2 linked regions of the Notamacropus eugenii genome follow. Each later gene encodes a partner of the first gene's protein in a complex. Links are inferred from orthologs where the notes say so. Each region holds a gene or a part of one and is shown on either strand. Other genes may lie near its edges.

Region 1 (7,661 bases):
GTATCTACATAGGGCCTGCTTTCTATCTTTAGATACATGTGTCTGTACTTTGGTGACTCTGGAAGATAAAGTAAGGCCAACAACTTTGTGCAACTCTGCCTCACTTAAATCAATTCACCCATGAGTGAAGACACTGACCCATGGTGCATTGGTAACCTCTAAGACGAAGGACGAATAACAGCGACATTTGTCTTCCAACTGTCCAAACTTTCATCTACTGGATCTTAGTAAAAATTGAGGCACATGGAGGAAGTGTCGACAAACATTTCTATAGCACGCTGTTGACAGCTAACTAGGGAGATGGGCAATTGCTTCTGAATTATGACATATAATTCACTACCATAAAGGTCATTTCTAGAGCTTCTTCTCAGTCTGAACCCTTCTTGAACTTTGTGTAGCATGACACAACTCACTTTTCCCTCCCTGAAATTCTCTTTTTCCTTGGCTTCTGTGATATCACATTCTGTTTCTACACCTACTTCTTAGATTATTCTGTTTCTCCTTACCCAGGTAAATGTGAGGTCACAAGATTTAGAGCTGGAGAGTGTCTTTAAAATAATCTAATTTAAATCCCCCATTTTACAAACTGGGGCCAAGAGAAATGGAAAGACTTGTCTGAGCTCATACTCTGAAAATAACCAGGTTTCTAATCTAGGTCCTATGACTCTAAAATCAGCATTTTTTCCAAATTGCCTCTTGGGGATCTCCCTCAAGGATCTTCCTTTCTACATACACTTATCCACTCCTACTACTTTAGCCATCACCTTTACGGGGATAACTGAAAATCTCTTTTAGTCCTAACCTGTCTGACCTTGGACCAGTTTTCAGCTCTCTTCTGGACATCTCTAAATCAATGTCTTGCTAACACCTCAAACTCAACATACATGAAATCTGACTCATCACTTTTATCTCTCCTCTCAAGGACACAAGCTCCTCTTTTGACTTCTTTATTCTAACGTACCTAATCATTCAAGGTTCAAATAACTCAGGCAATTAGCTGAGTTTCTCCCTCTCCTTCCACAACCAGCCAATCACCATTTTCGTGGATTCTACTTCCATAAGCCTCCTCTGTTGTATCATTACCAACCAGTTCAGGCTTTTCTCGACTCCAACACTTCCCCATCGATCACAGGACCAGAGACTGAAAGCTGGAAGGGTCCCTGGAGATCATCCAATGCAAGTCACTCACTTGACCAAGGCTCGGAACGGTGGGGATTCCCCACACTGGTAATAAGCCGGTCAAAGGCAGTGCTGCTTCCAGGGTCCCCACTCTTTCCTCTTTCTCGTCCATCTAACATACCGCTGCGCCATTAATTATCCTCTCGTACAACCAACGCTGCCCATCTTCAGTGGCTCCTCACTGCCGACGGGTTAAAGCCAAACTCTGATCTTCTGGGACTCCGCGGCCCCGCTTCTTCTCTGCCCCCCTCTGCCGCTACCTGCGGGCCCTCCTCACCACTGCACAGGGCCCCGTGCTAAAGGCCCCCCTCCAAGGTCAGCCTCAGACCCAACGCCAGCTCCGGGCGGCCTTCCCTGGCCCCTCTCTCCTGCATTCTCACGGTGCCTGTCACACAAGGGGCACAGAGCGGGGCCAGAGCTGGGCCCAGGGCCGGGCACAGAGCGGGGCCCAGGGCCGGGCACAGAGCTGGGCCAGAGCCGGGCACAGAGCGGGGCACAGGGCCGGGCACAGAGCGGGGCCCAGGGCCGGGCACAGAGCTGGGCCAGAGCCGGGCACAGAGCGGGGCACAGGGTCGGGCACAGAGCGGGGCCCAGGGCCGGGCACAGAGCGGGGCCCAGGGCCGGGCACAGAGCTGGGCCAGAGCCGGGCACAGAGCGGGGCACAGGGTCGGGCACAGAGCGGGGCCAGAGCTGGGCCAGAGCCGGGCACAGAGCGGGGCCAGAGCTGGGCCAGAGCCGGGCACAGGGCCGGGCACAGAGCGGGGCCAGAGCTGGGCGCCTTCCTCATCCAGACTGGGTAGGCCGCCAATACAGACTGGCTGAATTAATCACCACCGTCTCGCCGACGGTGAGGCTCCTCTGAGATCGGCCAGTTTGGGGCTTTAAAGACCGAACTACTGAAAATGTGACAACATTCCCTAAGAGCCGGCTCCCTGACAGACGCCTGCCTCCCTCGGCCACCGGGTCAGAAAATTCCTGGTGAAGGAGTTCGGTCCCCTCTCCTTCCCAGTGACTATCTCAGGAAGCATGATTCTCCAAGGAACAGCGAAGTGCTGGGGAATATGCTGATTAAGGTGACCTAATTTTTAAAAAAAGGAAACCCCAACGTGTATTTTCATTCATGAGGCCGGTGGGCGGAACTACTCCCGAGCCGGTGAATGACTCGGGCGTAGCCAGGGCGGCGCTCGGGGCCAAGGCGCACTTTCTGGTTTTCACACCCAGGTCGGGAGATTGGAGGTGACCCAGGCGAAGATGGCCCGACGACCGAGGAGGAGGAGCGGGTGGCCGGCCTTCAAGTGGCTTCTCCGAGGGCAGGGGCACCGCGGCCGACGAGGGCGTCGGTCCATTCCGGAGGGCGCCGCCCAGCTCCCTCCTCAGCCCGGGAGGCCGAGGTCGCCCCGGGCCCACCCACGGCCGCCGCGGTTCCGAGCCCCCGGGGCCTCGGGCCTCGCACAGCTTCCGGCTCCGGCCCCCGCCGCACGGACAGCGCACGGACAGCGCACGGACAGCGCACGGACAGCGCCCGGTCAGCGGCCGCTCCTAGGCCCCGCCCCCGCCAGGGCCCCGCCCCTGCCCACCCCGGCCCGGCCTCGCCCTCGCCCTCGCCCCCCCCCTGACCTCCGAGTCCTTGCGCTGGTTGCGGTTGAACTCCCGCCCTTTGCCCCCGGGCAGGACGCCCCCGCCGCCCCCGCCGCCGCCGGCGGTCCGCGGGGCCACGGCCTGGGGCTGCGGGGACGCGGGAGGCGGGGGCGGCGGGGGCTGCGGCTGCTTGTTGTTCACGATCAGAGGGCCTGGCCCACCGCCTCCCGGCTCCATCTTGGCTCCTGCGGCCCCAGCCCAACTCTCGCATGGCCGTGGGGCCGCTTCTCTCGCGAGATTTGACCCCTAACCCTGCCGCGCCCCCTCACTTCCGCCATAATGAGTGTGGCGGTGAATGGGAGACGCCATCTTGAGCGCGGCAACCTTTTAGGGTGTCTTAGCCTGGAATACCTCTCGGGCGCCCCGCAACACGACGCACGGTCGGACTGTGGTAGTTGGTAGGTCGTTTTTCAGTCGTGTGACCCCATTTGAGGTTTTCATGGCAAAAAATGCTGAAGTGATCTTCCATTTCCTTCTCCAGCTCATTTTACAGGTGAGGAAACGGAAGCAAAAAGCGTGAAGTGACTTGCCCAAGGTCACACTGCTAGTACGGGTCTGAGGCTGAATTTGAACTCAGAAGGCGGGGTCTTCGTGGCTCCAGGTCCCGCTCTGGTTACTATGGCGCCCCCTGGCTGCAGAGTCAGGTTACGGGCTCACTATTTTCCAATGCTATTTGTTAGGCAAAGCTCGTTTGGACTGGAAGAAACTGACCTCGCACCCTGCTGACCGCTGCTCTGAGCTCTCCAGCGGAGGGTCAGTGGAAAGGGCGGCCAAGGGGAGTCAGACTGGAGGTCCACTGCCCCCTCTCTGCCTCCCACTTAGGCCTCCTTCTTAGTAAATGAAGTGGGGGGAGGGGATAGGCCAGTGTACTAGCAGCAGGCCAGCAAGTCGTCATCATGTGCCATCTTGGTGCCTCTGTCCCATGGGACAGAAGTAATTTCCCTTTTTTCATCTGTAAAATGGATCCATCAGATGGCATCTTAGGTTCCTTCCAGCTCCATGACTTTTGGAAGACCTAGGGCTAATTCTTGCTTCTAAAACAGTTTCCCCAACCTTTAAGATGCTAAAAAAGTGTCAGCCTGCACTGGAGTCTTTTGTTTGGGGATTTTTCTGGTGGTGGGGGGAGTTCCCTATACCAAGGAAATGACACACTTCTAGGTACTGTTGATCAGTGAGGGGTGTTCTCTTTTCCAATGAAAACAGGGGTCTGGTTTGTACCCTACCAGGGTAAATTCTAGGAGATAACACAGGCATATATACAAAGTACATAAAAGGTAAAGAGAATGCCTGGCCTCCCCCCACACAGTGTTAGCTGGGAAGGTTTGCCAGACTAGCTGAAGTTCTGAGGTGCCCTGAAGGAGAGATAAGAAGCATCATGTGTATGTACCACCATCACCTTGACCACCATTTTTCCTCAGATTCTGATAGAGACAGTCCAGGGCCCTGAACCTAAGAGCCATGGAAATGGTAATGCTTCCAGCAACTCTTTTCAGATGCAGCCTGGCAACTGTTTCTGCTGAAGATCCTGAAAATAAAGTTCTGTCACCACAATCCTTGGCCTTCTCCAATGGGTCAACCTTAGAAAATGATATGGTATTATCAGTGGAAATGATATTTTTAAAAAAGAGGCATTACCGCCTGCTTTACTGATGCACCTTGAGAGTCTGACATACTGTTGAAGTTTTTATATATGTTCTATGTAAGCTTTATGAGAAAAGATTCTGTCTCACTTTTCTATTTGTATCTCCAGTGCTTTGCACAGTGTTTTACTTAAAAAAAAGGCAAGTGCTTAAAAATGCTTTATTCATTCATTCACCAACAGCTGGGGGACTCATGAATGGTCTGATGTGGGAGGTTCCGCTCCAGCATTGACATAAACTAGGGATTCTCAGAAACAGGTGAGGAAGGACAGTTGGATGGGAGAAAAAGAATGATGTGGGTGGATGTGGTGTTGTGTGTGAGAAAACAAGGAGACCAGTTTGGCTGAACCAGAGTTGGAAAAGGAGACTAATACATGGCAGGTTGAGGCCACGCTGGAAAGGATTTCAATGTTAAATGAAGTTTGATCCTGGAAATAATAGGGAGCCCTAGACGTAACAGAAGAGTATAGTGACATGGTTAGCCCAGTCTATGCTTTGGGGAATTACTTTGGCAGTTAGGTGGAAGATGGGTGAAGAGGAAATAATTTGAAGCAGGATGATCAGATTTCTATAACAGTCCAGGCTAGAGACAAAGAGCCTAAAATGGTTGCATGAATGGAAAGCTGACAGATGAAGAGATATTGTGGAGTAGAAATGACAAGATGAGCAACTGGCTGGATCTCCAAGGTCCTTTCCGACTCACAATCTCAGGATCTCTTTCCTTTTCTTCTCTCTCTCCCCTCTCTCAACTGCCAGGAACATAGCCTGGGGAGCCCCACCAGCATTTCTTCTAGGCTGGTGCCCAAGCAAAACTGACAACCAGGATGAAGGATTTGGTCAGGAAAGGGAGAGGGCTAAGGATGGCTCTCTGTTAATCCAAACATGCAAATCACATGCAAATTGACATTTGGTTCTGACATCAACAGATGATACAATTCTTTGCAATAGGCCTGCTTCCATTCCTTGGAAAATGACCCACTACAAATATATATTCTTTCAAAATCTCTAAGAGTCAAGCTTCATCAAAGCAAGTCACCTCTCTCCTTAGCCAAACAAACGCAAGAGCATCTGAAGGGCCACCAACTTGTGTCCTCTAAAGTTCTTTTCCAAGACAAACTCATCACCCAGGTATCTATCAGAGTTTCTTCCAAATGAATCATACTGATTCAGGAAGTTAAGGGAAATTCTTTTTAGAATATAACCTCCTACAATAGATTCATAAATTTAGAGCTAAAAGGACCTAGTTCAACCCACATACTTCTGTCCTTATGTGTACAATGAAGGGTTTGTACTATGACTTTCTAAGGTGCCCTCTAGCTCTAAATCTGTGACTCTTAAGATAAAGATACACTGCCTTTCATGTGCCACTAGATTGCTTTAGAGTTCTGTCCAGACCCAAACCCTGTGACATGGGACAAGTGCCTCGCTCCAAGACCAGAGGCTCATTGCCTTGGAAATAGTAAAGTTCATCACCTGTACTGAATGACCTTGTCCAGAAGGAATCAGAACTGGCTGTGTGTGGGGGGAAGACCACCATTGCCTATAGGCCACTCACTCCTGAGAGAAGGAGCAAGAGGTGCAGCTTACTGAAAAATGGATCTGCCTCACCTTAACTATGAGCACATATAGCAGGTGGCTCTATAGGACTTATTTCTGAATGAAGCCATCTATTTTGGTCTTTTTCAATGCCAAATCTATGATCCTGCCAAATGCCCCATAAAAATGGCAGGAGTGAAAATAAAGCAAAATTAGCTACATCCTTTCCTTGTAGGAGGGACACCATATAACTAATGCATTTACAGCAAGTTTGTGGAAGGTAGAGAAGGCATATTCCATTAATAAGCACAGCATACTGAAAAAGCCACCTAGTCTAAAGGCCTGCTTTCTCATGGGATAACTGCACCCCACTATTATTTCTGACACCATCTAACTCTGAACTAAAACAGCCTAAGTTTAGCAGGACAAAATGACCTCCGTGATTCTCACAAGGTGGTTAATAGGGTGGCAGATGTGCCCTGATGCCCTGCCCAGATGTCAAACACCCAGGACATTCCCAACTCAGTGGTAAGGGACAGGGAACCATGGGTCATTCACTGGAACGTCTGGGCCATGGTGACCTGAAGTTACTGGGGCAGGGGCTGCCTGCTGAAGCCCAGGGTGGATGAAAAGGGCTACCTGGGAATGACAGCAAACCAACATTTCCTCGTCTTCCCAGGAACCCTGACTTCTCACTAGCCTAAGAACAGTATAACCTTGCTACTTCATTTTCAAATAACAAGGGAGTGAAAGGGCGCCACCTGGTGGATTTCCTTCATGGCAGCAGTGGAGAACCATTCCTGGACGGGGACCTTTCCTCTAAGCAAGCACAAGTTGATAAGGTACCATGTAGGAGCAGGAACAGAGCCCACTGATAACATTGCTCTGGCACCAAATCCTAATCTCCCAGGACTAGTGAGGCAATTTGGGCTGCTGTTCAGGGCCAACGAGGCAGTCATCACCTCAAACCCTACTCCCAGTTATTCTCTGGAGATGCCTTTTTTTCTGCCATGCTGCACTCTCCATGTTGTATCATCCATGTTACTCTGCAGCTACTGTACCCTCAAACCCAGATCTCCAGAAACCATGCCGAAGGGAAGCCAAATCAGTCAGTCTGGGAATTCTCAGTTCCTCAGTCAATAAGCATTAAGTACTTACTAGACGCCAGATCCTGTACAGAGTAGTATGCAAAAGCCATGAAGGAAAAAAAAGATCCCTATCAGGGAAGACTATCAGGGAAGTCATATTCCAACAGAGGAGACAATATGCAAATGACTATGTATATGCGAGATATGAACAGCCAGAAGGAAGGCTTGAGACAGTTGAAGGGGTGAGGATGGATAGTCCCATGCCCAGGTGCTTGGAGCTGCGTTGAAGCTGAGGAATCCAGGGACAGAAATGAGGGAGAGTATTCCAGGACCAAGGAAGAGCCAGTGAAAAGGCACTGAGCTGGGAGACAAGTGTCATGTTCTAGGAACAGCAAGAAGCTGGTGTTGTAGGATCATAACAGCATGTAACAAGATTGGAAAGGTCAGGTTGGAACAGGCTTTAAATGCCAAACAGATTGTTTTATATTTGATCCCAGAGGTTAAAAAGGGAACCATTGAAGTTTACTGGCACAGTCAGATCTGATTACTAAAGCAATACCACCTCCATCCCCTACCCCCA
Region 2 (7,199 bases), on another chromosome or scaffold:
TCAGTTTCCTCACCTGTGAAAAGAACTGCAAAAGGAAATGGCAAAGCATTCTAGGATCTTTGCTGCCAAGAAAACCTCAAACGGGATCACGAAGAGTCATATATGACTCAGCAACATCAACATCTCTCACTCCAGACACAGTGCTTTTCCCCAGTGTACTAGATGTTGCTCTCTTTCCCTTTCCCTTACTATCCAATTAGAATGATTCATATCAAATGTAGTAGATTGGCTACAAGGCCTGGGCTTCAGAAATCTGAGTCCAAGCGCCAACTCTGCCACTTATGATGTTACCTTTCCAAGCCTCAGTTTCTTCATCTGTTCTTCTGTGCAATATGAATAGTGGGCTCTGTATACTTTGACACTATGAAATATTTCCCCTCTGAAATGTTCAATGATGCAACGAAAACATACTTGATGATTTTTGCAGGTTAACTTCCAGTTTGTTCCAAAATTTCCTTGACAAAACCCCTCCTCCTTTTCTCTTTGGGTTATTTGATGTCTTCAGACCTCCTGGGCCAGTATTTATGGACTGCTGTGGCTACACAAGTTTAGGAAATTAGGTAATGGGAAGCTATTATAAATTCTGAAGAGTGTGGTCTTTTAGAAAGAATGTATTTTAGGATGATTAATCTCAGATAAGGATGAATTAGAGGTGGGAGAGAACAGAGTCAGGGAGACCAGCTCAGTGACTATTAAAAGTAATTGAAGTGTGATGTGACTAGGGGTGGTTGAAGTAGGAACATTCATATCAAAAAGTATGGTCAGTCCAAGTCAGTTAGGTAAATAAATGTGAAGTCCAGCATCACAAGGTTAATTTAATACAGAGTATTATCCTTTATTAAATACATATAGAAGCTAAAGGAAGCTAGATTTGCTCTCAAAGGGCCTTAGTTAGAATCCTAACTCTACCTATCTCTCTACCTACGTGACCTTACCTTGGATAAGGGAGGGAGAGTTAGTGTATGACATTTTGTTTGCAGATGATTGTGCACTCAATGCAGCCTCTGAGGTTGAGATACAACAAAGTATGGATTGATTCTCTGATGCTTCTGCTTCAGCCAGCACCACACCATCCATATGTGGAACCATCAGCAAATGGAGAAATTTTGAATGCTGGGGATAAATTCATTTACCTTGGCAGTATACATTCCAGGCATGTGCACATTGATCATAAGGTTGACACACTCATTGCCAGAGCTAGCTCAGTGTTTGAGCAGCTCCGAAGGAAAGCATGAGAGATAAGAGGTATTCGGCTGTCTACCAGACTGAAGGTCTACGGAGCCACTGGGCTGACCTCATTATTGTATGCCTATGAAATCCAGACAGTCTACCAGCACCATGTCAGGAAATGGAATGGCTTCCATTCAAATTGTCTTAGGAGGATTTGAAGATCACCTGGCAAGATAAAGTACCAGACACTGAGGTTCTCTCTCAAGCTGAACTGTTAAGCATTCAAACTGTACTGCAGAAAAAACTCAGCTCTGATGGGCTGGCCAAACATTTGCGTAAAAGATTATTTTATGGAGAACTCACACAAGGTAAACACTCATATGGAGGTCAGAAGCAGTGATACAAAGACACTCTCAAGGTCTCTCTGAAGAACGTTGGAATCAGTAGGGAGACATGAGAGACACTGGCCCAGGACCACCTAGCATGGTGTGCCCACATCAAAGAAGGCACTGTGCTCTATGAGTAAAGCAGAAATGTAATAGCTCAAATGAAGCATGTGATAAACAAATTTAGAGACATCTCTACTGCAAATGCTCATATGAAATGTGGCAGAGCATTCCGAGCAGCCAGCAGTCAGACACACCCCAACATATAGTGATGGCATTTTGGTCCTCTTCAAGAATGAGAGATGACAGCCAACCACCTTGGGCAAGTGACCTGACATCTCTGGACCAGAGTTTCCTCCTTTGTCTAATAAGTAAGTTCGACTATATGCGTCATAAAGAAGGTCGCTTTCAGCTATAAATCTGTGATCAGGTAATCTGTTAGGAACTTTGATGTATCCCCCAAAACCTGAACTTCCTCTTCCTCCTGGCAGCCCTTCCATATCTTAGCAGACAGCCTTTATGAATTGCTGTAGCCAAAAACATCGAGCATAGTCAACCTTTTGTTTGATGGGCCTTTACTTAGGCTGGGCCTTCACACTTAAACTACAAGCCCTTTATTGGATTTGGCTTTAAATTTCAGGCTTGTTAGTACCTTGTTCTGCTGGAATAGTTTTTGAGAACACAGGGTCGGGTCACCTGGGAAATAAAATTTTATCCAATTGATCTTAAAAATTGCCTGTTTTCCCTCAAGTGTGAAATTGAGGTAGTAAGAGTGAGGTCTGAGCAAGGAGCTATGCTTATGTGTGTGCTACCTATGTCTGTGTGTGCCTAGTAATCTTGCCCATAGATGGTGAGGTCCTCTAGATACTACTGTTTGCTGGGGAAATTGTGCTGATTGCATCCAAATTGCCTAGCATTAGAGGTCTTTTTCAGTGAGATCCATGGTTACTCAAAAGGGCTCAGCCTAACACTTTAGAGAATATAAACCAAATGGATAAAAAATGCTTATTGTCCAGATAACATGCAGTTGGATGGCCTGTACATTAAGTCATCCATTAACACATATATCCTATACCCTTATAGGGGTTGCTGATGGACAATAACTTGAATCCAAGAGGAAAAGAGTGGGCTGAACTCCATTTGGGAAATTGAATAGTGCTTTTAAAGACTCTAAGGTACTATATGGTTAAAAAAAATTATTTTTAAAGACCCTTTTAACATATGCTAGAATAGATGCTGGTCTGCTCTAGAACCAAAGACATGCCCTGAGGGATATTACTGAGTCAAAGTATGACCAGAGAAGGTGTGAGCAATGTGGTGGGAACCAGGGCCATCTCACATGCTTCACTGGTATAGTCAGATGGCACAGAGAAAGCAAGAAAGGACCCACACCTTTTGCAGGAGGGGTAGAATCCCTGTGGTGATCCTATGGGAGGGCAAAGAACAGATTAACATAAGATGGGCAAAGGTGGATCAGTTGTGATTAGCGCTGTTGAAGGGAATATTCCATATAGTGGCCTACTGAAGGAGTGACCCTGGACGAGTCACTTGTTCTCCGAAGGGTTTAGTTTCGCTCTACTCTAAAATGAGGGGGAGCTGAACTCTGTAAGGACCCTTTCCCATGTGACATGTGATCTTAGCACCCAATCTCATGGCACTTCTTCACCCAAAAGCCCTGACGGGGCAAAAGAAGGTCACAGTGGGGAGAGTTCTTTCCCTCCAATTGGGCATTAGCAAGTGGCCTGAAAGTGGGCGAGGCTGAGTATGCTAAGCCCGGGGTTCTCGTTTGCTCTCGAGGCTCTGGCCGCTCGGGCGGCGGCAGCATCCACTCCACCTTAAGATCCTGCCTCTAGAGGTGATCTTGCCTCGCGTCGTGTCCCCTGCCCTCAGGGCGCCGGACCCTTCCGCCAGGGTTTCCCCCCTCCCCGAGGTCCAATTTCTTGGGAACCGCCAGAGTGGGGGCGCTTCTTAGAATCCCTGAAGCGCCTAGGGGCATCCCGTAGCGTCCCGTCCCGTCCCGTCCCGTCCGGTCCGGTTCCGCTCCGTTCCGTCCCGGAGGGCCAGGGCCAGGGGCAGGGCTCGCTGCTGGCCCGCCCTTCGCCCGCCCCTCGGGCCGGCCAGCCGCCGTTGGCGCCGCCTCCCAGCCTGCCAAAAGCGGCGAGGCGCCGGCGGACGGCATCACTGGAGCCCGCGCTGCCGCACCGCCCCGCACACGCAGCGCCGCGCGCCAGGCGGCCCGAGGCGAGCTCAGCCGAGGCAGCGCAGAGCGCAGCTCATCCGGACGGCGGCGGCGGCGGCGGCGGCGTCGGAAACAGCAGCGGCGGGAGCCGGAGCCGGAGCCGGAGCCGCAGCGGCGGCGGCGGCGGCGGCGGCGGCTGCGCAGGGAGCTCTCCCGCTCTCCTGTTCGCGCTCGGTCCCCGGGGCACGCGGACTCGGCCGGTGAGGAGGCTGAGGCGCCCGCAGCCGCGCAGCGCCCCTCACCTGCGCAGCCCTCCCCTCTTCTCTGTCCCGGGCCACTCACCGGCGACACGCCGCGCTCATCCGCTCCCCCAGGCCGCGGTGCCGGCGCCGGCGCCGCAGCCGCCAGGGCAGGCCCGCGAGGGAAGCCGGCCCGAGAGGACCGCGCCGCCGCTGCAGCCGCCGCCGCCGCCGCCCCCGCCATGGCGCACTCGCCGGTGGCCGTGCAAGTGCCCGGGATGCAGGTGAGGAGGCCCAGGCCGCCGGGGCGGCCCGACGCGGCCCAGGGGATCGGGGGTGTCTCTGGGGCTCCCCGCAGGGAGGCAGGGCCGGGGGTGGGAGGACGGCACGAGCGAGGGGGCGTACGACGGCAGGGGCTGGGATGCAGTGGAATGGGGGCCTCGATTCCGGGCACCTGCTCCCGCCGTGGGACGAAGGCAAGGTCGGGGGCTGCGGGCGGGAGGCTGCGGCAACCCCTCGGTGGGGGTCTGGGCCCCACGGCCCTTCCCCAGGAGTCGGGCCGGGCCGGGCCAGGGGTGGCGGAGGAGACGCTGAACTAACTGGGCTCTTCCTGTGGGTAGAAGAGGTGACTCTCTCTTTTTCCTTTCATTTTGGAGCTGCTGCTTCAACGGTGAAGTCTCATCCCCCTTCGCCACCTGGAAATCCGAGCTCCGGCCCGATTTCGGGGAGCCCTTCTCCGCCCCCACCTCCGTCCCCCACTCCCTCCCCTCCCCCATTTCCTAAGGGAAAGAGAAGTTTGTGCCCTGGGTAGCAGAGGACGCGTGTGCGGGACGAATATGTATTTGTACGTTATCATTCATCATGCACCCTCCCCTCCCCCCTTGACAAAATAATAATAACAAAAAGCAACAACCCACAAACACCTTCGCTTTCTTACAAAAGCAAAGTTGTTAAGCCTTTGGAAAGCCGTTGAGGAAGACAGTTAAGACATTTGGGACTGCATTTCAGGCTAGTTAGTGAAAACTGTCCAAGTCTGAACTAGTTTCTCTAAATAAGCATACACCTCTTCCTTAAACGCTCCCCCCCCCCCCCCCCCATTGCTCCAGAACTCTTTTCAGAGGCCAAGAACTTGAAAGCCTCAGTCCCTCCTCTTGTAACAGTAAGAAAACTTTTTAAAGTTCAGAAAAATGTGTTAGAGTAGTAGGCAGCCCACATTTCCAGAAACATTCCTGACCATGGATTTTCAGCCACCTGTAAAGTTTCCTTTAAAGTTTTATTGGGATTTGAATGTCATTTTATTTATCCTCTTTTATGCAAGTTCACAGAGATTTTTTTAAAGTCCTTCAAAAGGAAAAGTAATTTCTATTGTGTATATATCTAACTAGGTTTTAGCAGGGTTTCCTAATGACTAGGCCTTTTAGATAAATTCAGGGAGACTTCAGTGCCTAGTCTCAAGTTTTTACTCTTATTTTTGAGAAAATAACAGACTGAGCTCTCCTAAATTTAATCGTTTCACATCTTGTGAATTGCTCAGTCATTTCTTTAAAAATAAAACGATTTCTACTTTGGTTTATATAAAGCAAGGGCACCTTTTAACAATTCTGTTTTTATACCTGTGATTGTTATTACTATTCATAAAGTTTGGGAATCTCAGAAGTTCAGTAAGTGCTGAGGCATTCCGTGTTTCCAAATGGCTTTAAACTTGTCCTATAAATTAGTTAGCCACTCATTTTCAATGTTTATCCTCTTAGCTGCTTTTCCAGTACATAAGTGATTCAGATTAATGTTCCTTTTTCCTCAATTACAAATTGCACCCCTGTTTCTCCCCACAGAGATTGTAGTCTCATGACTCTTAAATGGATTTTTACCCCCAAATCAGTACTAGGAACACAAAAAAGATCACTTATCTGCCTCTTTTTCCTTAATGAAATTTTAAGTTCTCCACTCTTTCCGCCACCCCCCCCCCCAACATAGTTCTTAAGCTCTTGCTTTCCACAGTTAAGTTTGTACACTGCCCTAAAAATAAATATCTGACTGCATGAGCATAACTCTTAGGTCCAAGCTACTTTGAATATTCATTGTGTGATGTTGTAGATGAAGTACTTACATAGCAGAAGGGTTATTATTTTGTAAAATACAGTTAGGGAGATGTATGGAAAGTTTTCAGACATACAGTGCTAAAGAAACTTCAAAGTTAATCATATGTTTTAGAAATTACATTTTTAAAAAAGCAGATCAAGACAATTGCTCTTATAACTTTCTCCTTTAAAAAATTTTTAAAAACAGTTTAAGGAAGTTAGGAGCAAGAATTTTTCCAGAAAGTAAGTGCTCCTGGTTCACTGGCCCCAAACTGGACATTGAAATCGAACTACCTGTTCTATCTTTTAAGTCTGACCGACATTCCTGACTTTAAGATAAAGGAATTTGTGTCACTGGTTTAAAAAAAAAACTTTGAAGAAGACATAGAAATTGTTTCAGTTCTGATACTTCAGTTACTAAACCTCATAATACTTAGGTTGACAGGTTAAACTTTTCTTTTTCCAATGTTTATCTTGTACAAGACTGTCTGTATAGGTCCTCTTAAATTTAAATTTTTATTTGGTCTTGCAATTAGAAGCATTTTTTTCCTATGTTAAGAACCTAAAAGTATAGCACCACTTTTATTATTAAAATAATGTCAGTTTTCACTCCAACGTTGTTTGTTTAACCTGTAGTTGTTAATCTGTGCTGTTCTGTGACACCACTTTCCTCTGGTTCTTGAGGCAACGTGGCATAATGGTTATATTCTGAGAATTAAGAAGACCTTGATTTGAAAATTGCATTGAGATGTTAGCTGTATGATCCTGGTCAAATCACTAAATCTCATTGAGTCTCACTTTTTGTTAAATGGGGTTAACAATGAGGTAATGAGAGTACCTGCCGTATGGGCTTGAAGTGATGATTTAGTGAGGGAATGTATGTAAATCTTGCAAATCTTAAAGCTCTGTATAAATGGGTGCCATAGAAAAGGAGAAAAACGATGGCCTCTGCCTTCAAGGAACTCACATTTCAATTCATCTGGTCATATATAGAATACACACACATACACTGTAAATGGCAAGTCATCTCAGATGGAAAGTGCCGACAGTGGGTGGGACTGAAAGGTCTGCAGCAGGGGGCTTGGCGTTCAGGCAGAGATGACAGTGGTGAGCATTTTTGGCATGAGAACAACCAGTGCAAATGTAT

What was found. The genes of interacting proteins can lie anywhere in the genome.
Region 2: STRIP1 (region 1) and STK26 share a complex: the UniProt entries of both Homo sapiens proteins name them as parts of the core of STRIPAK complex. The link is inferred for Notamacropus eugenii from reciprocal best matches to the Homo sapiens genes STRIP1 and STK26.

Annotation. Positions count from the first base shown.
Region 1 is NC_092873.1:288,381,238-288,388,898, reverse strand, and holds the start of STRIP1 (striatin-interacting protein 1), read right to left. Parts: upstream 3,010-7,661; 5' UTR 2,995-3,009; coding exon 2,797-2,994; intron 1-2,796. UniProt on the Homo sapiens protein: Plays a role in the regulation of cell morphology and cytoskeletal organization. Required in the cortical actin filament dynamics and cell shape. Part of the striatin-interacting phosphatase and kinase (STRIPAK) complexes.
Region 2 is NC_092879.1:53,710,371-53,717,569, forward strand, and holds the start of STK26 (serine/threonine-protein kinase 26), read left to right. Parts: upstream 1-4,139; 5' UTR 4,140-4,216; coding exon 4,217-4,258; intron 4,259-7,199. UniProt on the Homo sapiens protein: Serine/threonine-protein kinase that acts as a mediator of cell growth. Modulates apoptosis. In association with STK24 negatively regulates Golgi reorientation in polarized cell migration upon RHO activation.